Arabidopsis thaliana: one gene and its partners. The protein of the gene in region 3 purifies or fractionates together with the protein of the main gene of each other region. This does not show direct contact. Each region holds a gene or a part of one and is shown on either strand. Other genes may lie near its edges.

Region 1 (10,136 bases), on a different chromosome or scaffold from region 3:
ATAAAATACATTTCAAGACATTAATTTATTTATTTTTTTCGTTTTTATCTTCAAATTACATTTTTTTTTTAAACTCCTTATATAGTCATTGTTTCCCTTTTATTCTTCTATGATCAGACAAATATCTCTTTAACCATTTAACCTAAACGAACAAGTTTAACAATTGTCTTAGTTCAATGAATTCGAATTATATTTTAAAAATATATATTTTAACTTATAAGTAAAGTATTTCTAGTCATAGAAGCATAAAAAGAAAAACTAGAAACTCAACAATAAGAGAATAATTTTAAATCTAAATTATAAGACAAAACCAATAAAGCTTTTAAAATATGTCTTAGAAGTTAGAACAAATGAACGATGAACTGTCTTGAGATGGATTTCACATAATATGAGTATATGACACATAATCTCTTAAAGTTTTGATTGATTTTCATTCTTTCGGCTGTTGAATATGCCCCGGCCCTCACTCTTGTAGTACAATCTTTTTATCGGTACACACTGAGTTACGTCACTGTCGATGTCAATATCCATTATGGTGGTTTTAAATCATGAGAAAGAATCGAGGTTAATATCAGTCGATTAGTATGAAAATCGAACTGATTTACAAAGATAAAAGATTGGAATTAAAAAAGGCTCTTGATCTATTTTCTAGCTTGTTTTCTAGAAAGAAGTGACCCTGGTCTATACGACCTCCTTAGTCAATCCATGCAAATCATAACGTCCCCATCTCGATGTCTACCAATTTAACGTTTCCTTTTTAATTTGTTAGATATGCCCGTTTTATTTTGACTTGCTCAAACTGTATAGGGCCATCACGAGCTAAACTGATGTGACTTGGGCCTGGTGAGAGTCATGAAGCTCCGGAATGTTGTAGCTCGATGTTACCTATATAAGCTTTCTTTATGGGCCTTGAATAGGCCGAGTTCAAATGTGAGAATCCAACACCAACAGCCACTTAGAACAACTTTTCAAGATTGTGTATCATCTACCTCTTCGGCCATATTAAGAATATGTGTAGTTGGGCTTCGGTGAGACTTATGAGTTGGGCTTGCCATGACAATCCCAGATGTTACTTTTCTCTTAATCCCTAGGAAGAAAATCTTTTGGTAACTTCAAATCATTATAAGCGCAAATAGCTAGCTACTATGTCTGATGCATTTAGTTACTTTGTGCTGAGGATTGGGGTCTTTAATGTGAAATCGAAAGTTTAGGGTTTCTCGTGGATATTAGAAAACGTTAAGGTTGGAATATAAAGGAAAAGATTAACTGAAAGAGTCTGCATAGCACACTCCAGCTTAATTCCGTATCGTTTTAGGATTTCTGACTTCACTCTTTGACGGCTATATATTAATGTGATTTTCCATTATGTCAAATGTTAATTATTATTTTTTAGATAAGTTTTCGTGAAAGTTGAAACGGTGTGACTTGTGAGTGACGAATGTATAGGAAGAAACTGTGGAGGTGGGTTCCGTTTAAGGCTTTGGTGGTGTGGAGATTAGAAGTCATGGCCGCCATTTTTGAGTCACGCACGTGTCCACCTACCTTACCTTCTTATAACTTATTCATTCATGTGTTCGATAAAATATATTTGATATTAATTTAAACATACAACATAGAAGTGCACAATTACAAGAGTTTTTTTTGTTTTTCTATTTTTGTCGCTACAAGAGTTTTTAGTTTTTACTTACGTTACGTATATGCAAACGCAAGCAATTCTGCATCTATTTGTTTTTCAATGGCAGCCATAATTGATATCAAATAAATAAATTACTAATGCCACATGTTTTTTTAGCACAGCTTCATAATTCATAGGAGTATCGATATGTAACACAATAATGGATCTTGTAGTAAAATTTGAATAGAGTCAATTAAAAAAAAAAAAAAAGATAGAGTCAATCTGTGCGATATAATGAAATTAGAACGAAGCTCGAATTTTAAGATTTTAAATTATAACAAAACTCAAATGTGTTATAACATTCAAAAAAAAAAAAAAAAAAAAACTTAACACAATAATTAGTTTTTCTCATTTTGAGAAAACCAAATTCTCGAAAGTATGTGAAAAATACCATGGAATTTGAAGGATTTTGTAGATTACCAAATAGTAAACAAAATTTCTAAACTTGTTTTACTATGATTTTGTCACGAATACAAAATCAAACTCAGATAGAGAAATTAGGTGATATATAGCCATAATTGTGTTTACTACTAAAAATACAGTTATTTCTAAAAATAAGGTAAATGACCACCATGGTACCATACTATTCCATGAACAATATAGACAAATAGCCTTCCATTGTTATAATTGGGATATTGTCAAATCCATCCCGTATCTATATATATTATTATACACAAGTAGAACTTTTGATGGTGATTCATTATCTACCATTCACATGTTTTTGTATCATTAAATTGTTGATTATAAAAGCAGGATTTGATTCCACCTACTAAGAAGTAGGAAATATAAAAACATAACGCCAATTTTCGTTCATCAGAACCAAGATTTTTTTGTCGACACAATCAAACCAAATAGATAATGATACTGTTTTTTATAGTAGTATATATATTTCTTTTCCTATAGAGTATTTTATCTGAGGTCATGTGGTTGGTTAGTGACACACTTTTCATTATTTTACGTTCTAAATTAAATATCGTAAAGTTAAACCTCGTTTAAAGTATACTATAAAGAATAGAAATATCATTAATTCATTATACACACTATAAAGTTAACCTTTGTTTAAACTACTAATAAACTGGTTATTTAAAAAACTATTAGGGTTAAATTTGTGAGAAATGGAAAAGTAAGAGGCAAAAAACGAAAGAATCTTTTATTACAATGATTATTAATTTTATCAACTTTCTTTTATAGACAGCTCAGCTCCACTGATCGGCTCATGCTCCACTGATCAACTTTCTTTCATTTTTTTATCAGTTTCTCATTTCTCTCTCAGTCGCATATAAATTTGAAACGCCGATTCGTTTTTGCTCTTTAAGCTTTCTTCTTGATTTCGACGGTGTCTCTCAATCTCCGTCAAGCTTGACGAATTTCAGGTGTGATTTGCTTCTCTTCTTCTTCGCTTTCTGGACTTGTGGATTTTGGTTTTTGATTGATTTGTTCTGCTTTTTTTTTTTTGGTTGAATCTTCGCTTTTTCTCATGATTTTTTTTTGGCTGTTGCATGATTTTGGTTTTGTTAGAGTCGAATTTTTGCAGATTTTTGCTTTGATTTGATTTTTGTTGTTGTTGTTGTTTCTGGTTTGGTGATACACGAATTTTGATTTGTTCTTCCAGATGATAGTTCAATTCTGTGGTAGCTGCTGATTCTAATTATGTGATATATGTTATTAGAATTGAGAAAAATGCAGTTATTTGTGATTTCTCATAGCTTATGATGAATTGTTATAATTGCAGGAGCTATATATACCATGGCGCTCTTGTCTCAAGCAGGAGGATCATACACTGTTGTTCCTTCTGGAGTTTGTTCAAAGGCTGGAACTAAAGCTGTTGTTTCGGGTGGCGTGAGGAATTTGGATGTTTTGAGGATGAAAGAAGCTTTTGGTAGCTCCTACTCTAGGAGTCTATCTACCAAATCAATGCTTCTCCATTCTGTTAAGAGGAGTAAGAGAGGGCATCAATTGATTGTTGCGGCAAGTCCTCCAACGGAAGAGGCTGTAGTTGCAACTGAGCCGTTGACGAGAGAGGATCTCATTGCCTATCTTGCCTCTGGATGCAAAACAAAGGACAAATATAGGTACAGTTTGATGCTTATATGTTCTGTTAAAATGCTACTTAGTGTTTGTAATTGTGACATATTTCTTTGTTTGTGCTCTTTTACGGTGTTGGTATTGTTTGAATTCATCCAGATTGTTTGTCTATTGGAGAAATATTCTGTTTTGCTAACTTAACATTGTGAGTTTTCAGAATAGGTACAGAACATGAGAAATTTGGTTTTGAGGTCAATACTTTGCGCCCTATGAAGTATGATCAAATAGCCGAGCTTCTTAATGGTATCGCTGAAAGATTTGAATGGGAAAAAGTAATGGAAGGTGACAAGATCATTGGTCTGAAGCAGGTTAACATTCTCCTGTGTTTCATCTTTTGAGCCGTTTATTATTTATATACATTTTCAGCCTGTAGAACATGTTAGCTTCATATACAACACAATGATCGGTATATTATAAGGTTTCAGTCTTTTTTTTTTTTTTGCTGTAGATAACTCGTTCTGTCCTTTTGTTGACCAGGGAAAGCAAAGCATTTCACTTGAACCTGGGGGTCAGTTCGAGCTTAGTGGTGCACCTCTTGAGACTTTGCATCAAACTTGTGCTGAAGTCAATTCACATCTTTATCAGGTAATTTCAAAGATAATTATTGCCAATGCTCTCACCCTAAAACGTGACAAATAACCAACTATCTACGGATGTCACAGGTAAAAGCAGTTGCTGAGGAAATGGGAATTGGTTTCTTAGGAATTGGCTTCCAGCCCAAATGGCGTCGGGAGGATATACCCATCATGCCAAAGGTATGACGCTTTCTCTATTCTTAAGATTGAAGAAAGTTAACATCTGTTTGTTTCTAATTCAGATAATATTATCTGATTCTACATAGCCAACGTTCGGATTATTTCTTGGTGTTTGTGTTAAGTTTTCCTATGACGAGTCAGGCAGTAAGATTTGACATAGTGTAATGTGTTCTGTGCAGGGGAGATACGACATTATGAGAAACTACATGCCGAAAGTTGGTACCCTTGGTCTTGATATGATGCTCCGAACGTGTACTGTTCAGGTTAGATTAATATTCTGACTTTGCGCCTTTTCATAATTTCCTTAAACTAAACTTTCCAGTTCTCATCAATAATCTTATTTTGAAACTTATAGAAACTGCATTACTTGCAATCTTGACAGGTTAATCTGGATTTTAGCTCAGAAGCTGATATGATCAGGAAGTTTCGTGCTGGTCTTGCTTTACAACCTGTGAGAAGCTCGATCTCTTTGTGGCATAACCAGAAACTTTTATTAACGATTTTGACTAACCATTGCCTCACTATTATCTAAATTCAACAGATAGCAACGGCTCTATTTGCGAATTCCCCTTTTACAGAAGGAAAGCCAAACGGATTTCTCAGCATGAGAAGGTATCTAGATTCAGTTGTTATGATCCCCGATATCTTTTTGAATTAGTTTCCCTCCCACCTTATAACTCTGGTATGTTTTGACAGCCACATATGGACAGACACTGACAAGGACCGCACAGGAATGCTACCATTTGTTTTCGATGACTCTTTTGGGTGAGTATCGATGTTTAATCTATGAAAAACAATTACATTACATTGGTTGGTTTGGTATGAGAAGCTTCTCAAAAACCAATGACTCTGTCTCGCATTCTTGATGAGTTATTGGAAAATTGATATGTGCTATTCTGTGGATTTTCTTACATATGTTTGTGTTCAAGATAGAAAGATGCTTTGGATCTTTATCCTTCTCTTGAAACAGCATGGCTAATCTTAATTTTATTGCTCTCTTTTGTTCTTATCTGGTATAGGTTTGAGCAGTATGTTGACTACGCACTCGATGTCCCTATGTACTTTGCCTACAGAAAGAACAAATACATCGACTGTACTGGAATGACATTTCGGGTCAAAATCTATCCTTAATCTTTTCTGTTAGGTTCTATAACTGTTTCATTGCAAGGAATTGGCAAATTGAAAACCATGGGATCTTCTTGAATTATATCTAATCTCATAATATTCTTCATGCTGCAGCAATTCTTGGCTGGAAAACTTCCCTGTCTCCCTGGTGAACTGCCTTCATATAATGATTGGGAAAACCATCTGACAACAATATTCCCAGAGGTTAATCATCTGCCTCAAGAGTCTTTCAATCAGCCTATGACTTTCATTTCCCTGTCTTATGTTGAAGTCTGACAACGTTCCATAACACTAGGTTCGGTTGAAGAGATACTTGGAGATGAGAGGTGCTGATGGAGGTCCCTGGAGGAGGCTGTGTGCCCTGCCAGCTTTCTGGGTAACTACATCTATTAGCACATATATATTTCGTGCTTAATGAGAATGTTTCAAAAAGTATTGACTGTTGTTTTGATTTTATCTACAAATTTCAGGTGGGTTTATTATATGATGATGATAGTCTCCAAGCTATCCTGGATCTGACAGCTGACTGGACTCCAGCAGAGAGAGAGATGCTAAGGAACAAAGTAATAACAAGACGCACCACATTTACATTTTCTTATTCCACAGTTAGAAAACATCTTGTAATAAACTAATACTTGATTTCCAACAGGTCCCAGTTACTGGCTTAAAGACTCCTTTTAGGGATGGTTTGTTAAAGCATGTCGCTGAAGATGTCCTGAAACTCGCAAAGGTGTGTTTGTATGAACCCTCTTAGAAACTTCGAGCCAGCTTTCTATCCCGTCTGGTCCAGCTTCTAACTATTGGACTTATTTTCTCTTTGTTTCTCAGGATGGTTTAGAGCGCAGAGGCTACAAGGAAGCCGGTTTCTTGAACGCAGTCGATGAAGTGGTCAGAACAGGTAAATGAAGTTTCCTAATGCATAATTGAATTCCACACCGACATTTTGTTTGATAACCTGGTGGTGAAATTTGGTTTTGAAATGACAGGAGTTACGCCTGCGGAGAAGCTCTTGGAGATGTACAATGGAGAATGGGGACAAAGCGTAGATCCCGTGTTCGAAGAGCTGCTGTACTAAGAAAATGGGACGTGAACAAAAGGTGTCTATAAACCTTTGGGTGTGAGTTTATGCTATCTGAAGAATTCGAGTCTCCGGAATAAGGATTTTTTTTTTTGTTGTAATCGGATTTTAAAAACTGATTTTGTTTTAGAAATTCGAAGCATTGAAAAGCAGAAGAAAAATTGTATGTACTAAACGATTTCGGTGTGGGAAATCGTTTGGGAGGGTGTGTTTGGATCTTGAATAAATTACCCATTTTTCTTGTCACAAATTTGTCTACATTTAACGAAATAACTCAAAACTGATTTCAAGGCAAAGGCGACGGATGGGATAATCTAGGCTGTGTAGTGGAAAGTTTTGATGTTTAGTAATTTGGCAATGTATGTTTTTTTCTAAATGGGAGAGCATCTTCGATGTAGACATTTACGAGCTTTTCCTTTAATAGGTTTTGGCTAGTGAAGAACACTGCTTTCATAATTGAATCCACCAGACTCCGCGTAAACTAAACTGATTACAACACGATGATCCTGGCCGTCGGTAATTATCGTAAAACAAGAAGATAGTGGCACTTAGGTGACAGGATAATATGTAAACCCTACCAAGGCGTCCCTACAAAATGATGAGTGATGACTGATGAGAGTGAGAAAAACCGAGTCTCCACAGTCCACACACTGCCTTACCTAATTAATATACCCACCTTTCATTCATGTATGTTACGTCAACGTTTTTATGTCCGTTAAAACTGTAATCTACATAAGAGATCATAATTTTTAAAATCTCCATGTATTTCGTTGATACTTTAATTTGGCACGTTTCTAGTTTTTGAGATCAAATGTTTTTAATCTGCTTCTAGTCTTATTTTTCCTAAACCTTAAACTGTAAACCAATTGCTTTTTCACATAACCTTGCTTGTTTTCAATTTTAAAATTTAAGTCCAATATTTGAAACAACCTAACAAATGTCGTCTATGGCAACCAAAAAAAAATAAAAAATCAAAACAATTTGCTAAAAAGGAAATTGATTAAAATTGATTTCTTTCATTTAAATTGGAATTTAATATATTAGGTAAACATGTAAACGCAATCGCAATTTTTATGAGAGACTTCGGGCCGGTTCGTTTAAGTGTCGCTGCGACTATAACTAGCGACTGGCTTTAAAAACGACTGAGTTTTGTTTGTTTTTATTGTTTTTTTTTTAAGTTCGAATATGTCGTATAGATCTGTAAAATAATTCAAATGTGGCTTTGTCCCATAGATTGGTTTTGATTATGCAATCATCTATCACAACAGTGGAACATTATGCAATCATTTATTGTCTATCAAATTAATTATGGTTATGAAATATGAAGGATCTTACATCTTAAAAAGTGTTAATTATGATCGCATGCCATTTAGATTCTTTCAAAAATTCAGTTTGAAAGTGGAAAGCGCGCCAAAATTTGCAGAAATCAAAAATCCGTTAAAAAACGTTACCAAAAAAATATTTTAAAACGGGCCAAAATATTTCAAATGTGGATTCCATAGATTGGTTTTGATTATGCAATCATGTATTACAACAGTGGGTTGAAATCACTTCTCCTACCTGATCATTAGCTTCAAAAGTGCCTTGGCTACAGTAATAGGATTTTTCATGTATATGAAAATATTAGTTCAAATGGGAGACAATCTTTTGAATTGGTATAGAGGTTGTCAGGTTGATCAATGATTCAGGGGAAGAGTGATGACAAATACTAAGAAATGATCCAGGAGGTTGTCATCCGTTTTCCTATTAATAGAATTGGATAAAAACTTATTTGACTTCTAAATATTTATTAGGTTGAACATTTTCTCAGATATACTATGAAAACAGTCAAACAAAGGATAGTCAAATTTGCATCCGTGCAAAATATTTATTGTGTAGAAAATTAGAAAGCAACTCTTTAATTAGTTTCTTCACTAGCCTAAATATATTTCCCCTTCTCACTGTTTCTACTTTTGATTGATTTACTTATAAATGCCGATTGAGGCAACATTCCTCCATACTTCAATTTCTTTCTTTCCGCTTAAGTTAACGATTTGGAAAAACATGAGCGAGAACTCTTCGATTACAGTGGATCAGCCAACAACGTCTGTTTTCTTCTTCTTCTTCTTTCTTATTTACAATTTATATTTTCTTGTATTTATCAATCTTGGAGTCTTGAATCTAAACAATATATATAATGATCTCTTTTTCTTCAATCATCACAGAGAAAATGGTAATGGCCAAGGAGAGCAGGTGATTCAATTGGGTAATATGCCGCCTCCTCGTAAGTATATTTCCAATCTTCAAAATTAGGGTTTCTTTGAGGGATCTTGAAAATGTCATTTTCACCTCTTTGTAGTGTCACCACCCACCGCACGCAGAATCCTAGTGATCCCGCATGGAGCCGTAAGTAGTTTATTTTCCTCCATTAGTTCTGTTTCCATACAACTTCTTCTCCTCTTGAGTTTTCTAAAAGAGATGTTTTGAACCTCGACCAACAGGAAATTGTCAGTGTACTGGCATATATTTCTAGGGCTTCTCGTCAGGCAGTCTACATCTTGTCAGGGAGGGGATGCGTTTCACGAGCCAACTTGGTGTCGTTACCAATCCGAGGAAACCGCATGGTAAGTGTTTTAGTCTTAATCATTCAATAGAAGCTTTTTTAGTTTCCAATTGTTTCTCTGATTCTGCTTGGCTATATATAGGGTATTGGGAGAATACTTTACTTGAGTGGATGGTTCCAACCGATGCTCACTGATGTAGGTGTTGCTGTACATTCTAGTCGTCCCAACGGAATACTTCACGTCTCCCTTTCAGGTGTTTCACCAAGTGTTGCTATTGCATATCAACTTTTTGCTTTCGGAGATGTTGAGGTGTTGTTGACTCTTTTTACCATTATATATCTCAATAGATTCTTTTAGATTTATTGATACCAAAAACTCTCAATACTTCTTGAAACACATTGTAGGTGGATGTTTTTTTTGTTTGCGGACCGGGGTCAATATTTCAACCGGATGCACCAGGTGCACCGAGAGAACGGGTACGAGTTAATGGAGTAGCATTAGCACAAGCACCTGCTGGATAATAGATACTCTATAAAATTTAACCTAGAGATGGCTGCAAAAACAGAATAAGTAATAGGAAGCAACAACTTATTATTACTTACAGAATGATATAAAACATAGTTGTTTGCTTTCTCATATTTGACTAATAAATCAATAAAAATAATAATATTACCTTGATGTTGAGATGAGATGTGGTATGGGAAACTAATACGGTTGATGACTTGGGAATCTTTGTCATCAACAACTTGGGAAAGTTACGTTTAATGCTTTTGCTAGCTACTAGATTACAATACCTTTTTGATTGGATTCTTGGAGCAGTTTAACATCAACCTGCATTTCATTGAGCATTTGCAGCGAGAATTAAAATCTAAAAT
Region 2 (7,093 bases), on a different chromosome or scaffold from region 3:
TATAAAAATGGATGAGGGTTTGGGTTGAAGGGTGGTATACTCTGTTCCCGGCTTCTTGTGAAGAAGGGATGGTTCAGTGCTTCTCTTGCCTTGAACCTCTCTGTTGGATCATATCGAAGCAGACCTTGTAATAGGTCTATCAGATCACCGGCTGAGTGATCCACATGCTGCATTATCAGGTTCTGCAAAATGCAAAAAAACTGGTCTCCTTAATTTCAATATTTCAGATAAGCGGATGTCAAGTCCAATGTAAGGTTATTTACCGGTAGCCGGGGAAGTTTCCATACTGCTTTTAAGCTGTCTCTTGATGTCGCACCTTCAGGCCAGTCTAACTTCGCACCTCGTCTGAAGTATTTCTCAGAGCGCCGGCTGCAAGAACCGTTTTGGTTTTGATATAAGAAATGACAGTTCAAGTTATTTTCTGCTGGTATCTGATGCTGCAAATAGGATGATATTATTGTTCTTACTCGGCTCTGAGCACCATATGAGGTGGTAAAGGTCCTAGGACCCTTTCCATCATGGCCAAATGTTCCAAGTTTTCATGCGTTTGGAAAAGCGCCTCTCCCTGCAAGGTTTAATCCAGAGAAAACGTTGATGGAGACATGGTGAGATGAATAGGGTGGTGTACCGGAAGATATGCAAACATAAAGTTACTCACCGAACAAAGTTCAACAAGTATGCAACCAATACTCCACAGATCACATGGATAGTTCCATCCAACCCCTGCAATAAACGTTCCAAACTCTTAAATACCATGACTACACAAAAAAATAATCATCTACGTAGATGTGTCAGAGTCATAAACGTTTACCTAGGATAACTTCTGGTGCGCGGTAATGTCTTGTGGATACAATGTAGTTATGGTCTTGATGTTCAAATGTTGTACTTCCGAAATCAATGAGCTTGATGGCACTTGACTTGGGCAGATTCTTGAAGTATGACCCATCTTTTGTGGGTCGGGATAGAAACTAGATTTTCATGACCACACATAGGAAAAGGGTCAAGAGTTATACAAGTTCCTTCATGGATGGATATCATATTAGCCATGAAAATAAATGAGTCCAGCTTGGAGATGATTGATTGCTCACCTTATAATCAGGTATTTTGATATATTCAGACGATACCAAAAGAATGTTCTCCGGCTTCAAATCCGTGTGGATCAGCCGTAAATCATGCATATCTGTCAGAATGGAATGAGCAAAGTCTGAGTACACTAGTCAACAAAAGTCTCCAGAAATAACTGTCTGAGCAATATGGATTCCATGGAAATTGCATTATCGAAAGAACATTAAGTAATAACTATTAACGCCTAAGTCTTGTATCAAAAAGTTAAGAAAAATGATTTGTGGCACTAATGGACTACTATATAGAAGAATGGGTCAAGAATATTCCACACACATGCAACAGACTCCAAAAGTTGTCTGCCAAGCTCCCGAACAAGATCAATGGGAAATGAACGGTAGCTGTTTTTGCGGAGAAAATCATATAAGCTTGGTCCAAGCTTCTCAAATACCTGTTGAAACCATTTAAACCCATGCGCAAGTTCTTTTAACTCACATAACATTTGGGCGTGAAGAAATTGCATTTTCCCCTCAAACTTGTCAAATAAAGGTAACAGCACTTACAATACAAATATGATTACGATAGTCAAACCAATTCCGTATTTGCACACAACTGCAAGGAATTGAAAAGCTTATACCAAATGTAATAAAATTAAAACTAGCGAAGAAATAGTAAGAGGAAAGAAATATTCTTACCGAGAACCACCGACATCATGCCTTGTAAGCCTCTGCAGCACGTCAATTTCGATCATGGCAGCTTCACGATACTTGTTTATGGACCGTATAACTTTGATTGCCACGACTTCTTTGTTTTTATTATCAAAGCATTCCAATACTTGTCCAAATGTACCTGCCAAAATACAATCCAATTGATTAAGATAACTGGCGACCAAATAAACATATTTCTCCTACACTTTGAAAAACAGAATAATCTAATCATAATGATTATATAAACATTTTCGCAAGAGATGACTAACCTTCACCCATTTTGCTGAGAATTTGATCTGCACGCACAATAGAAGAGGCATGTCAATGTAAACCTCCATGATAAAGTCTGTGAAACGTAACAGATAAGATGTCGAAAGACTCTGTAACATAAGACTCACATCGTGGAGTCAAAGTATCCCCAACAACAAAGACATAATGGCCGTCTTTATCATCTGGTCTCCAGGGAGGAGAGCCCTGACGAGGAAGGCCATTATAGAACATGTTTGGGTAAACAAAATTGGGAACTAAACCACTCGCAAACTCCGGACCATAGTACAACGGAGGTTGAAATACCTGAAAGAAAAAAACACATCAGCTGAAACTTAGCTCAAGCACACAAATAAAAATCTTAATTTCTTACTAGTTAACACAATTCGCAGTATCTTATGAAAACAACAAAAGAACAGTCCATTGATACCAATACAATATGTGGACAATTCGTTACCGTGGGTGGAGGAGGAGGAGGAAGAAGAGGCGGAGCAGCATCCCAAGTCAATCGGGGACGTTTCCTGGGACGCTTATCAACGATCCGATGAGGGAATTCAACATTCCTCTGAGTTTCTAAGATCATCGCGATCGAGCTAGCTTTATCACGATACACACTGCTTTGCATAAAGGATTAGAAAAATGCAAATCCAGAGCTGAAATTCAGAAACCCAGATTATGAACAGCGAGAGAATTGCGATTGAATTTCGAATCTAATTAGAGGGATAATAAGATTCCGAAATTCGAAACCCTAGTTATCTTCAATTTGGGGGGGATCTATCTCCAGAAGATAACTAAAAAAGGTGGGAAAAGTAACAGAAAAATATATTAAAAAAAGTGGAAGTAATGTAGCTAATAAACTAACCGCAAATTTCTCTCACACAGAGTAATTTAAAACGTTGAATTAGTCGCTGTCGTAATTTGATCGCCGGAATTCAGATCGGAGAAACAATAAAAATGCTCACTGAATTGGAATTGAAGAAAAAAATCTCAGGAGAAAATATTTAACAGCGAAAGAGACTGAAATGAGAGAGAGAGAGAGAACCTGAGGAAGAGAACAGCGAAGGAGCGACAGAGGCTCTGGAAGTTCTTAATGGGCTTTTTTAGTCAGGCCTTTATTAAATATATGTTGACTAAAGAAACGACATGATGTTATTACTGTTGAGGATAAAAACGACGTGGAGTTCAGTTATTTAATATCAGAACAATGGGGTGTTTTCTCCAAAGTCTTTTAATATGGAGGAGACGGGAGAGTCGTTGAACAAGAAAAATAATCTGAAGCAGCCATGGAGATAGCCGCCGTTAGCACTGTCTCCGTCGCGCCACAATCGCGCAGAGTGTCGAATGCGTTCTCCAGGAATCTAGGATCCGTATCTTCTCTTTCGTTTGGTTTCTTTGAGAAAGAATATTGCTTTAAGAGCCCTAGCCTTCGTGTGTCTGCAGCAGCTTCCATGGACGCCGTCACAGCTGAGAAATTTTCTCCGGCGAGTTTTCTAGACAAAAAAGAAACCGGAGTTCTTCACTTTGTGAAATACCATGGCCTCGGCAATGACTTCATTTTGGTACTTTTGTTCACCGTTGAATTCTCAATTTGGTAATTTAACCCGAAATGTATCGAATTCTTACAAATGTTTTCAAATTTTTCGTCTTTGGAATTGGATTTTGTAGGTCGATAACAGAGACTCATCGGAACCTAAGATTACTCAAGAACAGGCGGCGAAGCTGTGTGATCGAAACTTCGGTGTTGGTGCCGATGGAGTGATTTTTGCAATGCCAGGAGTCAATGGTACTGATTACGCAATGCGGATTTTCAATTCAGATGGTAGTGAACCAGAGGTGGGGCTTTTCGATGATAATGTCTGGTGATATGTTGTTGCGCTCGAAGTCATTGGCTTTTGATTTTGTTCTTGTAGATGTGTGGCAATGGAGTTCGATGCTTTGCTAGGTTCATTGCTGAGCTTGAGAATTTGCAGGGAAAACATAGGTATCTCTATCTGTATTGAGAAATATCTGTTTAGACTTGAGAGTTCCGAGTTTAGTCAAGCTTGATGTAACCTTAAGTGTCTATTTATTTGTTTTTGTAGTTTTACAATACATACCGGTGCCGGGTTGATTGTTCCAGAAATTCAAGATGACGGACAGGTAGATCATTTGGATTGATGTCTCATATTAGGTTTAGTCGTATTCATGATGATGGGTAAGGTAAAGTTTGGATTTTTATTTTTTGTGATTGATATTGGTACAGGTTAAGGTTGACATGGGGACACCGATTCTTAAAGCACAAGATGTGCCCACGAAATTGTCAGGGAACAAAGGTGAAGCTGTTGTTGAGGCAGAGCTAGTTGTTGATGGAGTAAGCTGGAATGTGACGTGTGTTAGTATGGGCAATCCTCACTGTATCACATTTGGTAAAAAGGGTGGACCGGTGCGTGTTTCGTTACTAGACTTCTAATCATATTATTTGTCTACACGTGAATTTCTTATCATTTGTAATTTTGGTTTGTGTCAACCAGAATCTGAAAGTTGATGATTTGAACTTACCAGAGATTGGTCCAAAGTTCGAGCATCATGAAATGTTCCCAGCTCGAACTAACACAGGTTAGTGGAGATTCATCGGCAGATGTATCCAGATTTCCATTGACTGATACAGCAAGACTTCTCGCTTATATTTGGATTTATATCCCTTTAGTTGTCTTACAGTTCTTTCTGTGTATCCGCAGAATTTGTTGAGGTCTTATCACGTTCTCATTTGAAAATGCGTGTGTGGGAGCGCGGAGCAGGTCCGCAAATTCCCCCCAATCTTCGAATATAATTCTCAGTTGATTATAAACAGTCTCTGTATCCTTATATGCTTAATGCTTACGCATACTTAAAACTGCAGGAGCAACTTTGGCCTGTGGAACTGGAGCTTGTGCTCTGGTTGTTGCAGCAGTCCTTGAAGGTCGAGCCGACAGGGTAAGTTTGGAATTTCAGAACTTAAAAAACTAGATAACAGTTTGCAAAATGGTACACTGGATTAGCAGTTTTTAAGCATTTTTTATGAAACCTGAATGTTGCATTGAATGGTTGGATGATTTGATTGGTAGACGATTGATGAGATTATGATTTTACTAAGTACTTTTCGTTCGCTTCGTCTCTTGTGGGAGAATCTTGTATTCGTTTTTTTTGGTTCTTCACTCTCACACAAATGTTTCTTGGATATTCATTGGAGCTTAAAGATTGTCATGAGCTGAGATTAGCTGCATGTGGTGACCTTGAGTTCCTCATATATGTATTGGTTTATGGTGGAACAGAAATGCACGGTGGATCTACCGGGCGGACCATTGGAGATAGAGTGGAAACAGGAAGACAACCATATCTACATGACGGGTCCTGCAGAAGCTGTTTTCTATGGATCAGCGCTGCTCTAATGGGCCTTCACAGTCGATGACTTCTCCTCTCTCTGTTGTTGTTCTTTTGGGGTCTGTGTGTTCTAATTCAAACGTGTGAAGCTCTTACCTGTCCTGCTAGATTGTGTTTCATGGATTTTGTTTATGTACTTTTATTGTTTTCAGAGTATCCAAACCTTTTGATTTGTTGCTGCATCTATGTTCATAATTTAAATCTTCTTTTCCTCGGAATATAGCTCTCTTCTACACTGATTCTCCACCAGACCAGACATTGTCAATGGCCGTGGTTGCACATAATGACAAGAGAAATGAAACTTGAGAGAATACAAAACCGCATATGTACATGATAAGATTGGTTAGCTTCCATATCTGCATAGATATTAGCTTATATGGTTAGGAATCAGGACAACATAACTGGTATCATAATATCTCCTAAGTATAATAACACAACTCTCATTAGTCTGATGTTAGCCTATCTCACACAAATATTTGTCAACGAGGTTTTACAGCGTGGAAAAAGCCACTGTCCAAGTTACTTCCAGGAAGTAAAGACAATGGCGAGGGTACAGAAGAAGATGACGGCGATGTTTTGGAGCAGAGTAATTTCGTTGTTTCTGAGAACATTTCGGGTTCTCGCACAGATTGGCAAATACCTTCAAGTTCTTTCACCACTTTTGACATTGGTGGTCTCGTCTCTGGTCTATCTTCACAACACCATAAAGCTAATTCCGCCAACTTCTTCACTTTATCGGGCGAACATTGTCCCATCCGACTATCCGCCACTGACAAAACCGTTCCACATTCATTCGCGGTCCTCACCTGTATCACATTGTACAGAAAAAACTCTTAGGAAATTTGTAGATATATTCAAAAAAACATAAACCTCACAGATTTAGCTACTCCATTATCAGATCTACGTGGGAGCTCAGTCAAGAAAAGTACCTCGCGGATAATATGTGTACCCTCAAAGAATGGGTGCATTCCAGTCAAAAGCTCAAGCAACACTACTCCAAAGCTGTACACATCACTTCTCACCGTCAATTGCTGAGTCATGAAATACTCTGGATCCAGATATCCCTGTGCATGTATAATTATCAAAATGTCATAGCTGAGAGGGAAACCATGTTTGGTTTTGTCAAAAGCCACAGGTTACATAGTATCACATATCGACTTGTGTCCTAGTTTAGAACTCACCGGTGTTCCTCTTACTACTGTTGATACATGGGCGGGCTCACCATCTCCCTCCCCAAAAGCAGGAGCCAACCGTGACAATCCAAAATCAGCAACCTTAGCATGAAGCTGACAGTCCAAGAGTATGTTGCTGGTTTTGATATCGCGGTGAATAACTGGCGGATTTGCTTCAGTGTGAAGGTAAAGAATCCCTTTAGCTGAACCTAACGCCACATGTGACCTCATGCTAAAGCTCAATGTGTCTGCAGCATTAGCTGCGTGACAATGTAAAACCACTGATACATTAGCATCCATGTGGAAGCAGATTGGCGCCTCAAAAATTTTAAGCTAGTTTCTGATCTTACATGTATAGAAAAGAACTTGGGAGGAATATTTCTTACCTGAAAGCCAATCACGCACATTTCCATTAGGCATATACTCATATACCAGCATCTGTGCATGAACCAAACAGAACACCTATGTGGATTAGTCGAAGAGCAT
Region 3 (6,916 bases):
CGGTGTTAATTTAAATGCATTTATATATCTGACTTTACAGATGTTGTTGTGCAGGTGAACCCACACACGCATCAGCTAAAAATATGTGATTTCGGGAGTGCAAAAGTGTTGGTAAGTTTTATTGACACAGCTTTTAACGAATTCATTCTTGGAGTATGACATGTTCTCGTTCTCTGTAGGTAAAAGGAGAACCCAATGTTTCTTACATCTGTTCTAGATACTATCGTGCTCCAGAACTCATTTTTGGTGCCAGTGAATACACAACTGCAATTGATATATGGTCCACTGGTTGTGTGATGGCCGAACTGCTTCTTGGACAGGTTAAAGCATGATTTTTGCATTAGCTATATGTTGTTCTATTCATTCAGTTTATTCCTTGTCTTACTATTTTGTGCCCTTGCTAATTTGTCGTACAGCCTCTGTTTCCTGGTGAGAGCGGAGTTGATCAGCTTGTTGAAATCATTAAGGTAGCCTTTTATTAATTCTTTAAATTTATCTAAAATCATCAAGTCCTGATAAAGTGATAAGTTCTTTTAGAACTTTTGTTTACGTAGCAGACAGGTGCAGATTGTCAACTTTATATCTGAATGATTATTAGGCTTAGGCATCACAATTTGTTACGTCTATTGTTGAGTTCGTATTCAGTATAGAAGAAAGCAGTAACCTTTGGATTGCTCAGTCTGATTTCGAGGAAACCTTGGTTTTCTTATTTCATTTGCTTTGATATGTCATGCAGGTTTTAGGTACACCAACAAGGGAAGAAATCAAGTGCATGAATCCAAACTATACAGAATTTAAGTTTCCGCAGATAAAACCTCATCCATGGCACAAGGTATGCCTTCTAATGTTATTGATTATCACCTACCAGAATAATCTTTAATCAGTGGTTTTGTTGGTGAATGCATTTTTTCAAAGAGGAGTTCTGGTATTTGTGATGGTTTGGAGTATGAATCATTCAAGAGTAAATATCAAAAATAAAATTAATGTTGTCATTTCCTCTGCTTTATAAAACTATCTGTGGTAGAGTTGAAAACAATTGGCTAAATGATTGTGGCTTTAGTTCTAGTTTGAGTATTTCTCTCTGGTGGAAATGGTTTTCAGGATTTTGTTCTCTGACATTCTACAACTTGGTGGTTTGCACTTTGCATTAAGCTGTATCTAGGATTTTTTATTTTCCCATAGTAAAAAAAGGTTTAATTGACTTCAGTGATAATTATCTCCTTGAGCTTCGCTTCTCTCTGAATCCTTATTACTGCATGAATATTCTATTTATGCTCAGGTGTTCCAAAAACGTTTGCCACCAGAAGCAGTTGATCTTCTTTGTAGGTTCTTCCAATATTCCCCCAATTTGAGATGTACAGCTGTAAGTTAATTCGTTCCGTTCCCTCCATATTAGCATCTAATGATCTAAATTCATTAAAAACACTCTTCTGGTGTTATTGTAGTTGGAAGCTTGTATCCATCCGTTATTTGATGAGCTAAGGGACCCAAACACTCGTCTTCCCAATGGCCGACCACTTCCTCCACTTTTCAACTTTAAACCGCAAGGTACAGTTCCCTTATTTTTCTTGTTGGGCCTATTAAGAGATCTAACATATGTAGTATGCTCCGTTAAGTTGTTGACATGTTGCGTTGTGTTCATGATTGGTAATACATATAAACATCATTCAGTGTTAGTATATGCTCTTTGAATATTGAGGATGCTAAATAAATTGAACAAGTATGGTGCCGTTGTGGCCTCTGAAATATATGATTACTAAGCAAAATATATAAACACTTTGTTCTCCATAGACATGAACCTGTCATCCTTAACTTTCAGTACTTCAAAATCATGAACTGAGGTTTTATGTGTTGTTGCAGAGCTATCTGGCATACCTCCTGAAATCGTGAACAGGCTTGTCCCAGAGCATGCCCGTAAGCAGAACCTCTTCATGGCTTTGCATTCGTAAGACGCTTATCGGTTTTTGCATCTGTATAAGCAAGCTCTCTTGATATCAATATTTGGAGCAGCCAGTTTTCAGCCATTTGGCTTTTGTTTTTGGTGAGTTCTTTTTCTTTATTTTTTTTCTGTTTGGTTGGTTATATGTCGATGAGGATGCATGAATACAAACAGTACTTGAGGTTTGCTGGTTACAGACCACTTGTTTGTTTCACGGCCACCATATAACCTTATCTATCGCAAACTGTTTTAAAGCATGTAAATTACTAACCAAAATTAATTGCATCGTTTAGTTTTACAAATAGAAAAGAAAAATCAACTAAAAATTAATGACTTTGCCGCTCATGTGTTTGCACATTGTGTTTCTGTGAAAATCAAACCGATTCCTTCGTGAAAATAGCCGTGTCTTCCTCCAGATCGTGAATTTGGTACTTCATACTTACCGGTCAAAAGCTCAGAAGCAATATTTCAGTCATGGCGAACCGTATAGTATATATCAAGGAAAACCTCATAACATAAACAAAGGTTCAGAACTTCAGACAAAACCTGTTTTAGATGACAGAGTCATGGATCAATCTCAGCCCAACAACATTAAAACTTTTCAGCCCATCAAACCCACCAAGTTTAAATTTCTTTTCTCTCTTGAATCTTGATCCAGTAGCTGATCCGACAACGTTTTGATGTTTGGTCGAAACAGTTGAAGTCTCTTCCTCTTAAATGTGATTATCAATTAAAAAATATTATTTGACCCAAGATACATGGGTATTGGGCCTCCAAAAGTTTAAGCTTTTTAGTAACAAAATTAGGCCTCCAAAAAAATTTGTTATTGCAAAACTATATCCTATATTCTAAAATTTTAATATTTAGTCTCCATTTTTAAATTTATCTATTTTTTATTTTCTAAAAGTTATAGGATTTAGTCTTAATTTTTAACTTTTATCAACAAAACTCATTAAAGAAAAAATTATTTTGTATTGGGCCTTATCAGGACCGGCGTCTACAAATAATAATAGACAACAAAATTACACATACAATGAAGATGTTTTATTGGTCACGATTTGATTTGGTATTTATTCTTTAACTACCAAAAAAATAAGTAAACTCAAAAACAAGAAGGGAGGAACCACTTTAAACCCTTGTCTACGCTGGTCCGAGTCCAGAGTCCTCTACTTTGACAGTCTCCCTCCATGTCGTCGTTGTGTGCATCTAATTGCTATCCTTCATCTTCTTCTATCAATCTCTTCTCCAACAACAACAACCCAACTAAACCCTTTCTTCTCTCCCTCAGATTCGCCTCCTCCAATTCTCTTCCATTTGTTGCTCCTCTCAAATTCTCTACTACCAATCACGTCCTTAGTAACTCTCGTTTCTCTTCGAACCGAATCCAAAGACGCCTTTTTTTGCTCCGATGCGTTTCAGAAGAATCTCAGCCGTCTCTTTCTATCGGTAACGGCGGCTCTGGTAAATACCCTTTTGCTCATTATGAATTAACAAACTTGGTTGAATGTTATTGTAAAGATATCGAATTTGAACGCCATTGATTATATAGTAATATCGATTTCGATTTCTGCAGAAGAGAGAGTGAATGTTCTTGTAATTGGTGGAGGAGGGAGAGAACACGCCCTTTGCCACGCCTTGAAGCGGTCTCCTTCTTGTGATTCTGTGTTATGCGCACCTGGAAACGCCGGTATATCCAGTTCCGGAGATGCCACTTGTGTACCTGACCTTGACATATCAGACAGTTTAGCTGTCATCTCTTTCTGTCAGAAATGGAATGTTGGTTTAGTGGTTGTTGGCCCTGAAGTGCCTCTTGTTGCTGGTCTCGCTAATGACCTTGTTAAGGCCGGTATCCTCACCTTTGGCCCTTCTTCTCAAGCTGCTGCTTTGGAAGGTTCCAAGAACTTTATGAAGAATCTTTGCCACAAGTACAATATCCCTACTGCTAAGGTTTGCGTCGCTTTCTCTTTTTCATTTATCCCTGATGGTTACCAATTTCTTCCCTTGCTGTGTTAGGATCCATAAGGTTGCTATGTAAAGATTATAAGCTTTGAAGTGTTCAACTGTTAGCTATAGGTCTGCTTTAATCTAGCCTAGTACTTAATGTAGCAGGTTATAGCTGTTGTGAGTTGGTTAGAGAGCGGTTAGTGAGTGCTAGGTGTACTATGGTTTGGTTGGCTATGTGGTTGAGGGCTCGGTAAATCGGTGGAATAAAAGTAGTAGCAGATTCGTAGCTTTGATATTATCTTAAGGATTCCAATTTGATGTGGCTAATACGGTATTATTGAATGGAATTCAAATGCAGTATAAAACATTTTCTGATGCATCTGCCGCGAAAGAATACATTCAAGAACAAGGGGCACCGATTGTGATTAAAGCGGATGGATTAGCAGCTGGAAAAGGAGTCACTGTTGCCATGGAACTAGAGGAGGCTTTTGAAGCTGTTGATTCTATGCTGGTCAAAGGTGTGTTTGGTTCTGCAGGATGTCAGGTGGTCGTTGAGGAGTTTCTCGAGGGAGAAGAAGCGTCCTTCTTCGCACTTGTGGATGGAGAAAACGCCATTCCTCTAGAATCTGCTCAGGACCACAAGCGTGTTGGAGATGGAGATACCGGTCCTAACACAGGCGGCATGGGAGCGTATTCTCCTGCACCGGTCTTGACCAAGGAGCTTCAGGATTTTGTGATGGAGTCTATAATCCATCCCACTGTTAAAGGAATGGCTGAAGAAGGATGTAAGTTTGTCGGCGTTCTGTTTGCGGGTCTCATGATCGAGAAGAAATCCGGTTTGCCTAAGCTTATTGAGTTCAATGTACGGTTTGGAGATCCAGAATGTCAGGTGAGAAACGCCACCTTTTCTGAAAAAACCTTGTTTAGTCTCGGTATGATTATTGCTCTAAACAATGCAGATTATTGCTTAAATACAGGTATTGATGATGCGTCTAGAGTCTGACCTAGCAAAAGTTTTGCTAGCGGCTTGTAAAGGCGAGCTAAGTGGTGTATCACTTGATTGGTCAAAAGATTCAGCAATGGTGGTTGTAATGGCAAGCAATGGTTATCCTGGTTCTTATGAGAAAGGATCAATCATCAAAAACCTTGAAGAAGCTGAAAGAGTTGCTCCTGGAGTGAAGGTTTTCCACGCAGGAACGGGTCTAGATTCAGAGGGGAATGTTGTAGCAACTGGGGGACGTGTTCTTGGGGTCACGGCGAAGGGTAAAGACTTGGAAGAGGCGCGTGAAAGAGCGTACTCGGCAGTACAACAGATCAACTGGCCTGGAGGTTTCTTTAGGCATGATATTGGTTGGAGAGCTCTTCGCCAGAAACAAGTGGCGACCAAAGAAGAGTGATGAGAAGGAATTTTGTTGTAATGGCTTGTAAACCAAGAATCCAAAAACTTAAAACTCACTCCAATCTGTTAAGAGATGATTCAAAATAACATTTTTGTTTACATAATTTGTGTCAAGATAAGCAATGTAGGTTAAACCCCTCAAATCCACTTCAAAGCACAAATGATGAACTTAGGAAGCAGCAGACACTCTGATCTTTACGAAGTTTCAGTGGTAGTTTCGTAAAATTTCGCAAAGAAACATCTGAAATTGTATATTGTAAAGTTTGAGGTCGAAAATAAAACGAAAGAGAGAGATGCCAGTGGGTGCAAAATTCACAAACCCTAAATTTCAAAATCCCAAGTCTCCTTCCTGTCCAGCACGAATCAATGTTCCCCAAATCCTTAGCCGTAAGTAGAAAAAACTCGAATTTAACAAAAGGAGTCTCTGGTTTAAGAAGACTCTGTTCTTCTTCATCTACCATCACCGGGAGCCCTTGCCCACCTAGATATGACGTAGCTGTCATCGCTGATCTCATAGAGAAGCAGCACTGGTCAAAGCTCGGAGTTCATGTGACAGACATAAACCCTAACGAGCTGTTTCGACAGTTGATAAGTTCTGAGCTTGACCCAGATTTGTGTCTCAGGTACTATTCCTGGTTAGTGAAGAACAGTGACATCTCTGTTTCACTTGAGCTCACATTTAAGCTCTTGCATTCTCTTGCCAATGCGAAAAGGTACTCAAAAATCCGATCTTTCCTTGATGGGTTTGTGAGAAATGGATCTGATCATCAAGTTCACTCGATTTTCCATGCAATCTCTATGTGTGACAATGTTTGTGTCAATTCGATTATAGCTGATATGTTGGTATTAGCTTATGCGAATAATTCGAGATTCGAGTTAGGATTTGAGGCGTTTAAGCGTTCAGGTTATTATGGGTATAAGTTGTCGGCTTTGTCTTGTAAGCCTTTGATGATTGCGTTGTTGAAGGAGAATCGTTCTGCTGATGTTGAATATGTGTATAAGGAGATGATTAGGAGGAAGATTCAACCAAATGTGTTCACTTTCAATGTTGTGATCAATGCGTTGTGCAAAACTGGGAAAATGAATAAAGCTAGGGATGTTATGGAGGACATGAAAGTTTATGGGTGTTCTCCAAATGTAGTTAGTTACAACACTCTCATTGATGGGTATTGTAAGCTTGGTGGAAATGGGAAAATGTACAAAGCAGACGCGGTTTTGAAGGAAATGGTGGAGAATGATGTGTCTCCGAACTTGACTACATTCAATATATTGATTGATGGGTTCTGGAAAGATGACAACCTTCCGGGGAGTATGAAGGTGTTTAAAGAGATGCTGGATCAAGACGTGAAACCGAATGTGATCTCGTATAATTCATTGATAAATGGTTTGTGCAATGGAGGAAAGATCAGCGAGGCTATTAGTATGCGCGATAAGATGGTAAGTGCAGGTGTGCAGCCTAACCTAATTACTTACAATGCTCTTATAAATGGGTTTTGCAAGAACGATATGCTGAAGGAAGCTCTTGATATGTTTGGCTCAGTGAAAGGCCAAGGAGCTGTTCCCACTACTAGAATGTATAACATGCTTATCGATGCGTATTGTAAGTTAGGCAAAATCGATGATGGCTTTGCACT
Region 4 (6,947 bases), 8.0 Mb from region 3:
TTCACCCACTCCAAGTTTGAGGGGGAGTGTGAGCAACAAACAAGTAACCGGCCCAACAACAACAAAAGGCCCATCTCAGCCCAGTCAAATAGAAGAAGACAAAATAGACTCCAGCTCAAAACAGAGCAACGATCGTACAGAGGAGGGGCGTTTTGCCTGATGACTCACCATAGCCAGCTACACAGCATCTGCCATATTCTAGACTGTTCCATATCTAGCTCCTTCTACAATGTCTATAAAAGAGTAGTGTAAAACCCTAATGTAATTATTGAGAAAGAAACGATTTTTTTACCAAAAGCTTGAAACTTTCTCTAATCGTTTCAGCAATGAGTGAATAATGAGATTATTATAAAAGAGATACAACTTGAGTAAATGAGTAAAATGATTATGAGTCCAAAAGAAAATGGAAAAAAGAGAAGGAAAGAATAAGCTTGGCACTTGAAGAAAATTTATGTCATTTAATTGCTCTGTTTGATTCTCAGATTCTTTATTCACATTAAGACCAACAAGTTGTGGATATATGCTTTCCCTCTCGTTGGCCGTTGAAGCATTTTTATTAACTTTGTCCCTCCAACGAAAGAAAAGTCAGGATTTTGTGTAAATTACTTATTTTTCCTTCTTCTGTCACAATCTTACTTTGAATTTTTGACATGAGAAAATAAATACTCTACATAAAGCTCATTTCGAGAGATATGGTTTTGTTATTTCTCTACTGTAAAAAAGGCAAATCAAGAAATGTCTTCACAAAAGAGTTCGCATCATAAGGCAGACTCCAAAATGGAACAAGATGTGAGTTTCTTTTCTTTGCTATTGAAGATAATTTGCAACATCTTTTTAAATGAAATCACCAAACTTTGATTAAAAATGTTTTATCTTGCTTTTGTATTTTCCTTGTTAAATTCTGCAGAACAATAGAAAAGCATGGATTTCACAACCGAGTGGTCTTAACTTTGTTTGGGGAGGTGACTCGAGATATTGGGTTATCCCTAAAGAACCAAGGTATCATCCGATTCATTCCGACTTAACCGATAAACCCAACTTTGGTTTACTGATACCAAAAATCTTAAACTGATTCATTTGATTGTTGGTTTTAGGATGCCTGCTGAGCTGAAGATGGTGAGTTGGTTAGAAGTAACCGGTTCATTCGACAAGATTGAACCCGGGAAAACATATCGAATCGGTTTTAAAATCTCGTTTAAACCGGATGCGACCGGTTGGGACAAAGCCCCTGTTTTCATGTCTGCTAAAATCGGGAAGAAAGGCAAGACAGTGTGGAAAAGAATCAAATCCGTTAGCCAGAACTTTGGTATACTGAAAGGTGGATCAGAACCCGTCAATATACCTGACGAGTCCGATGGCCTGTTTGAAATCTTGGTTAGTCCCACAGCGCTTAACCAAGATACTAAGCTTCAGTTTGGTCTGTATGAGGTGTGGACTGGACGATGGAAGACAGGTCTGTTGATCCACGAAGCCTTTGTTCAAGAAGTGTAAGGGGGAATATGATCATTATTGATTTTCATAATCCGAACGCAAATCTTATACCTCGTTTCAGTTCAAATATAAGAGCTTTAGATCATAACAATGTAATCTTATATACCTTTCTTGAACAAGTCTTAAAGCTCTGTATGATAATCTTCCGGTTTGAACCATAACGAGAAATCGATTCCTTTCGACTTCAAATTCTCAGTTGCGGGTGCAATTCTTTCCAGAAGCTACACCGATTAAACAAAAAATATGTGAGACCTGATCTCTAAGCACAACAGATTAAAAGCATTGATAAAAGTATGAACAGTTCATGAAACCTTGGGGTGAAGAACGCCGTTGGAGACCAAAACAGACCTATCAAACACAGAAAACTTCCCTCCGTCCATCCGAGTCACAGCTCCTCCAGCTTCCTCAACTATCTGTGTCCATTTTCTGACATGGATTAAGCTCTACAACTTAAGTACTTTAGTAAGAAAAAAACAACAAGAAGGATGAAGAAGACTACAAGAACACCAGCAGCCATGTCCCATGGCTTTAAACGGTACTCCCAATATGATTCCGCAATCCCAAGTGCAACATGACACATGTCAACTGCAGCAGCACCGAGTCTTCGCACTCCCCGACTCACATCAGTAAACTCTTTGAACAGTTCCATGTTAGTGCTCCATGCATCATCATGTTCATAACCAAACCCTGTGATAAGAAGTGCTCTCTCCACCTTCATTCAAACCCGAATAAATATCTAATAAACCAAAACCATTGAACACACCATGTCGAAACTTAAAATTGGATTCTTGATAAGTTACTTACAGCATCGGTCTTACTGACATGAATTTTTTGCCCGTTACACAATGCTCCACCACCTAAGAAGTGAACTAGTTAGACAAAATTTAGATATATAGCCAAACATAAGCTTGTCACATAGTACCTGCAGTTGCAGAAAAGGTTCGAGTGTTCCAGCACATCGGACCACCGACAAACTCTACCTGCATGATGAGATTTTGTTGTTAATCCTACTGACCAAAGAATCAGCAAATAGGAACTAACAAGCATTAGCTGGTTTGTGCAAGTATATATTGGATTTACCACAGAAGCAGCGGCGGGATTTCCACGATACAGAACACCGACGGAAACAGCAAAACTGGGATATCCATGAGCAAAATTTGTAGTTCCATCTATGCATAAAGGAATTAAGAGACTAATACTAAAAATCTCAGAGATTCCACACAAACACATGAAAAGAAAGCAATGAGATTTGTAAAGAGAGCTAAACCTAGAGGATCAATGCACCAGAGGTAATCAGAAGACGAATCGCCGATGATACCTCCTTCTTCACCAAGAATAAGATGATCACTAAAATTCTTCTTCACTACTTCCAAAATAGCAGCCTCGCTTGCTTTATCAGTACTGCAAATTCATCAAAAGTACTAAAACTTTAATAGCTTCAACCAATCAAGTCAACATGAACATAGTTAAAACCTCAAGCTAACAATTTTAAAAGGTGAAGAAGTCCTTACTCAGTTACTAAGTCACTGAGACCTTTATAAGTAATATTCCTTGGCTTATTTACAGCTTCCATAACCACCTAACAAACCAGATGATTCAATTCAAGTTAGTTTTGTTATTATTCTCCTTGTGCAGTTGTGCCCTACGAACCCAAGAACTTGATTCTAGTACCATTGAACACAATTTCAAGTCTCATCAAGAGTTTTTGTTTCCAATAAACATAAATTCAGATATTGTATTCTACAGACATGAAATTTCGAACCTCAGCGCCGGTTTTAGCGGCGAGTTCAACGACTTCAAGGAGGTGTGCCGGAGATATAGTTCCGGTGGTTTTAGCGCCGATTCTGGGATATCGCGTCTGATCAGAAACCTCAGACAGAACAGCTTTGGTTTGAAGTCTCGTTGTGGACTTGAAGCTATTAGACAAAATCCTCGTACACCGATATCGGAAAGTTCTGTTCACTGTCCGGCCTGAAATTGGGTTTTGCAGCGGAAGAGATGATCTGGGTAAGTGAGAGATTCTCAATGACATGTTTCCAGAGAATATTAGAGACCTTCCCATTGTTGGTGTCGCCGGAGAATTTTCGAATTTTTGTTGTTGTTCGGTTTTTGGTTTATATGAACGCGGCCAAGTGAACGGATGGTGGACATGAGAGAGTCCAAAAAGCTGATAGAACTTAAAATTGAAATTAATGAGAACATTGAACCAAAATCAGGTTAACAAATAACCAGAGATAACCGGTCTCTGTAGTATACTCAAATGGTTAGTTTTTGCCGATGGTGGTGCCCTAAACTCGAAAAAAAGATGGCGGCGTTTTTGCAAACTAACATCCGTCTGGAGATCATACCGGGAAGATACAGTTCTCTCACCGATCATAAGTTTCGTGCGCCGTATCGAATTAGGTGCGCCGCCGCTTCACCGGTGAAAAAACGGTATAACATCACTCTGCTTCCCGGCGATGGTATCGGTCCAGAAGTTATATCTGTTGCTAAGAATGTGCTTCAGAAAGCTGGATTTCTCCAAGGACTAGAGTTTGATTTCCAGGAGATGCCTTTCGGCGGAGCAGCTTTGGATTTGGTCGGAGTTCCATTGCCGGAGGAAACTTCCACTGCTGCTAAACAGTCTGATGCCATTCTTCTTGGAGCTATCGGAGGGTATGTGTAATGCGTGTGTGTGTTGTTTCTTCAGCAAATTTATTCTCTTTATGATGATTTTTTGTTCAGGTACAAATGGGACAAGAATGAGAAACATCTGAGACCTGAGATGGGTCTGCTTAACATTCGAAGAGATCTCAATGTCTTTGCTAATTTGAGACCTGCTACAGTTTTACCACAGGTATTGATTTGCTTATCACTTTGCTTTCTAGTTGTAAATATACTCAAATTTTTCTGTTTTTGCTTGTTCAGCTAGTTGATGCTTCCACACTGAAGAAAGAAGTAGCACAAGGTGTTGATATGATGATTGTAAGGGAGCTCACTGGAGGTATTTACTTTGGAGAGCCAAGAGGCATTACGATCAACGAAAATGGCGAAGAAGTCGGTTTTAATACAGAGATCTACGCTGCTCACGAGGTACTACTTACTCTTCACAATCTGCTGCTCTGTGACAATGTATGTGTATTAATGCATTGCTTTATCTTCTTCAGATTGACAGAATTGCTCGTGTTGCATTCGAGACTGCTAGGAAAAGGCGTGGCAAGCTGTGTTCTGTTGACAAAGCCAATGTCTTGGATGTATGTTTTGAATTGTTTTTCCACTCCACTCTTGTGTGTTTTTCGTTATACAATTATTTTTTTGTTTTGTTTCGTATAGGCATCAATATTGTGGAGGAAAAGAGTAACAGCTTTAGCCTCTGAATATCCAGATGTTGAACTATCACATATGTATGTCGATAATGCTGCGATGCAGCTTGTCCGTGACCCGAAACAGGTGATCTTCGCGCATATATAAAGCTTAGCCGTTGATTAAGCTAACACAGAAGTGGAACTTGTAGTACTCACGGCATTTTTAAAAACATTATTGCAGTTTGACACAATCGTCACCAATAACATTTTTGGTGATATATTGTCTGATGAAGCTTCAATGATCACTGGTAGCATTGGGATGCTTCCATCTGCAAGTCTTGGTGAATCGGTAAGTAAGACTAAATCTAATATTTCAAGGTTCCTCTGTTTATTATTATCATATATTGATTGTTAAACTTGTGATGAAAACTAGGGACCTGGACTCTTTGAACCTATACATGGTTCAGCACCAGATATAGCTGGACAAGACAAGGCAAACCCATTGGCCACCATTCTCAGTGCGGCGATGCTTCTCAAGTATGGACTTGGAGAAGAAAAGGCTGCAAAGATGATTGAAGACGCGGTCGTGGATGCTCTGAACAAAGGTTTCAGAACCGGAGACATCTACTCCCCCGGAAATGTATGTGTATGATGATTTCTGTCTTTTGTTTTGTATAAGTTAATGACAATATACTTAAAGAAGTCTTTTTGTGTTTTGAAAATGCAGAAACTGGTGGGATGCAAGGAAATGGGTGAGGAGGTTCTCAAATCAGTGGACTCCAAAGTTCCTGTTTAAGAAAAGTGTGTAGCCCTTGGTTTTACTGTTACTTTTTTGCTAATACATGTATTAGAAACTGTATTCTTGTAGCTTTTATAATAATAAAATATTTGGGATCGATTCTGCAATTCAAAGACAAAATTCTCCAAGAACATTTGACAAGTCTCCTGCCTCAGTACCTTGTTCTTGAAGATTGAGAAGTTCTCGCCAACTACAAAACTCAACATCTTCTTCAATCAATATTTGTTAAACGAATAAAGTTTCAAGAGAGACAAGAAACTATGTTTTTTAGCCGCTAGAGTATTACATTTTTCTACTGAAAAACCAAACTTATAAAACATAACATTTATAAATCCGAAAACAACTATCAATCATCAGGTTAGCCTTTGGATTCACGACGACTTATCAGATTTGCGTTCAGCGTCTGCGGCAGACTGCATTTGAGCTGCATATGGTAAGTTCCAGAGAACATCTTTAAAGGAAGTCTTGCAGAAGGTTCAAGCAAAACACATTTATTGGCGATTGAGATGGCAATTGGGTAAAGACTCCTGCGAGCTTGTTGTTAGGACCGTTGGACTTCCTATTTTCTGTCGACAGTCTTGGCTCCCAAATGACGTCTGCAAATACAACATTGCAGCAACAGCTATTAACAATGATGAAGATTTGCTTCTTTTCTTTACCCTATATGATACCATTTCGTTGAGAAGATAGGCCTCTCCTTTTTGTAGTAGGTACTGGTCCTATCAGAGATTCCAGAAGTATGAATCCAAAGTTGTACACATCGCCCTCTGTTTTAGCCATTTTCCTGCATAATTCCAAAGCTAAGAAACGTGATGAATCGAAATCGTCTGTGGCTTCCTTTAACTCTTCAAAAGAAAATGACCGGAATGAGGGCACACCTTGTGCACCTAGCTTTGCTGCTTGAGAGATTAACCCTGCAAGACGAAGTCGTACAAGGATATTAAATTCCTGAAAGACAATTGCCACCAGGCGGAGGTCTACAATTTGAGTCAAAGTTACTCACTTGCACTAGCAAGAACTTCGGAGGAGAGACTGGTGTGTGAGTTATCTCTGTCACAACCTTAAGCCGAGTTTGAGGCACTGACCTTTCTCTTGAACAACAGCAAGAGCAGCGGTTTATACACACAAGAACAAATACATCTCCACCAAGGACAGCAACCAAAATCCCAATCTTTCTTCCTTGGAACTGTTTTCCCTCAGTTTCAGCCTCTTCGATTACGAATTCTTGATGCTGATCATGACTGCCAATAATGGAAAAGAAACGGGGAGGGGTCCCAATTAATCTGTTATTCGACAAATCCAAGTTTGCCTCCACAGGTCAGATTATGCTGTAGCTTCCCACTGAGCTTGTTAGATGCAAAGTCTAAGTAACT

Evidence for each region.
Region 1: the proteins of PUR2 (region 3) and GSH1 fractionate together in Arabidopsis thaliana (co-fractionation; one large-scale study listed by BioGRID). This does not show direct contact.
Region 2: the proteins of PUR2 (region 3) and AT3G53580 fractionate together in Arabidopsis thaliana (co-fractionation; one large-scale study listed by BioGRID). This does not show direct contact.
Region 4: the proteins of PUR2 (region 3) and IMPL1 fractionate together in Arabidopsis thaliana (co-fractionation; one large-scale study listed by BioGRID). This does not show direct contact.

The regions. Positions count from the first base shown.
Region 1 is NC_003075.7:12,100,037-12,110,172, reverse strand, and holds GSH1 (glutamate-cysteine ligase), read left to right. Parts: upstream 1-2,477; 5' UTR 2,478-3,048; intron 3,049-3,407; 5' UTR 3,408-3,421; coding exon 3,422-3,747; intron 3,748-3,917; coding exon 3,918-4,068; intron 4,069-4,237; coding exon 4,238-4,345; intron 4,346-4,422; coding exon 4,423-4,515; intron 4,516-4,694; coding exon 4,695-4,778; intron 4,779-4,897; coding exon 4,898-4,966; intron 4,967-5,056; coding exon 5,057-5,127; intron 5,128-5,211; coding exon 5,212-5,280; intron 5,281-5,534; coding exon 5,535-5,628; intron 5,629-5,754; coding exon 5,755-5,844; intron 5,845-5,935; coding exon 5,936-6,016; intron 6,017-6,110; coding exon 6,111-6,203; intron 6,204-6,289; coding exon 6,290-6,370; coding exon of another isoform or gene 6,371-6,394; exon of another isoform or gene 6,395-6,468; coding exon 6,469-6,538; intron 6,539-6,626; coding exon 6,627-6,715; 3' UTR 6,716-6,812; exon of another isoform or gene 6,813-7,074; intron 7,075-7,865; 3' UTR 7,866-8,038; downstream 8,039-10,136. Other genes in the region: AT4G23090 (uncharacterized protein), read left to right, coding at 8,690-8,802, 8,923-8,981, 9,057-9,103, 9,199-9,321, 9,403-9,570, 9,666-9,782.
Region 2 is NC_003074.8:19,861,465-19,868,557, forward strand, and holds AT3G53580 (diaminopimelate epimerase family protein), read left to right. Parts: upstream 1-3,166; 5' UTR 3,167-3,319; coding exon 3,320-3,595; intron 3,596-3,701; coding exon 3,702-3,869; intron 3,870-3,946; coding exon 3,947-4,017; intron 4,018-4,117; coding exon 4,118-4,175; intron 4,176-4,278; coding exon 4,279-4,458; intron 4,459-4,546; coding exon 4,547-4,631; intron 4,632-4,753; coding exon 4,754-4,813; intron 4,814-4,914; coding exon 4,915-4,988; intron 4,989-5,326; coding exon 5,327-5,443; 3' UTR 5,444-5,670; downstream 5,671-7,093. Other genes in the region: FC1 (serine/threonine-protein kinase AFC1), read right to left, coding at 1-182, 264-369, 468-565, 659-723, 812-968, 1,089-1,180, 1,399-1,513, 1,626-1,674 and 4 more; AT3G53590 (LRR receptor-like Serine/Threonine-kinase), read right to left, coding at 5,915-6,241, 6,365-6,499, 6,617-6,867, 6,994-7,045.
Region 3 is NC_003070.9:3,191,147-3,198,062, reverse strand, and holds PUR2 (Glycinamide ribonucleotide (GAR) synthetase), read left to right. Parts: upstream 1-3,018; 5' UTR 3,019-3,126; coding exon 3,127-3,400; intron 3,401-3,512; coding exon 3,513-3,886; intron 3,887-4,241; coding exon 4,242-4,772; intron 4,773-4,860; coding exon 4,861-5,280; 3' UTR 5,281-5,495; downstream 5,496-6,916. Other genes in the region: SK41 (shaggy-like protein kinase 41), read left to right, coding at 55-111, 180-320, 417-467, 737-832, 1,280-1,363, 1,446-1,548, 1,861-1,949; AT1G09820 (Pentatricopeptide repeat (PPR-like) superfamily protein), read left to right, coding at 5,649-6,916.
Region 4 is NC_003070.9:11,141,467-11,148,413, reverse strand, and holds IMPL1 (myo-inositol monophosphatase like 1), read right to left. Parts: upstream 3,643-6,947; 5' UTR 3,554-3,642; coding exon 3,254-3,553; intron 3,071-3,253; coding exon 3,003-3,070; intron 2,893-3,002; coding exon 2,759-2,892; intron 2,661-2,758; coding exon 2,572-2,660; intron 2,472-2,571; coding exon 2,414-2,471; intron 2,349-2,413; coding exon 2,296-2,348; intron 2,204-2,295; coding exon 1,991-2,203; intron 1,905-1,990; coding exon 1,803-1,904; intron 1,713-1,802; coding exon 1,614-1,712; 3' UTR 1,492-1,613; downstream 1-1,491. Other genes in the region: PP2-A9 (phloem protein 2-A9), read left to right, coding at 1,096-1,491; IMD3 (isopropylmalate dehydrogenase 3), read left to right, coding at 3,752-4,146, 4,216-4,327, 4,399-4,563, 4,638-4,724, 4,804-4,920, 5,017-5,124, 5,209-5,415, 5,503-5,571. UniProt on the Arabidopsis thaliana protein: Phosphatase acting preferentially on D-myoinositol 1-phosphate (D-Ins 1-P).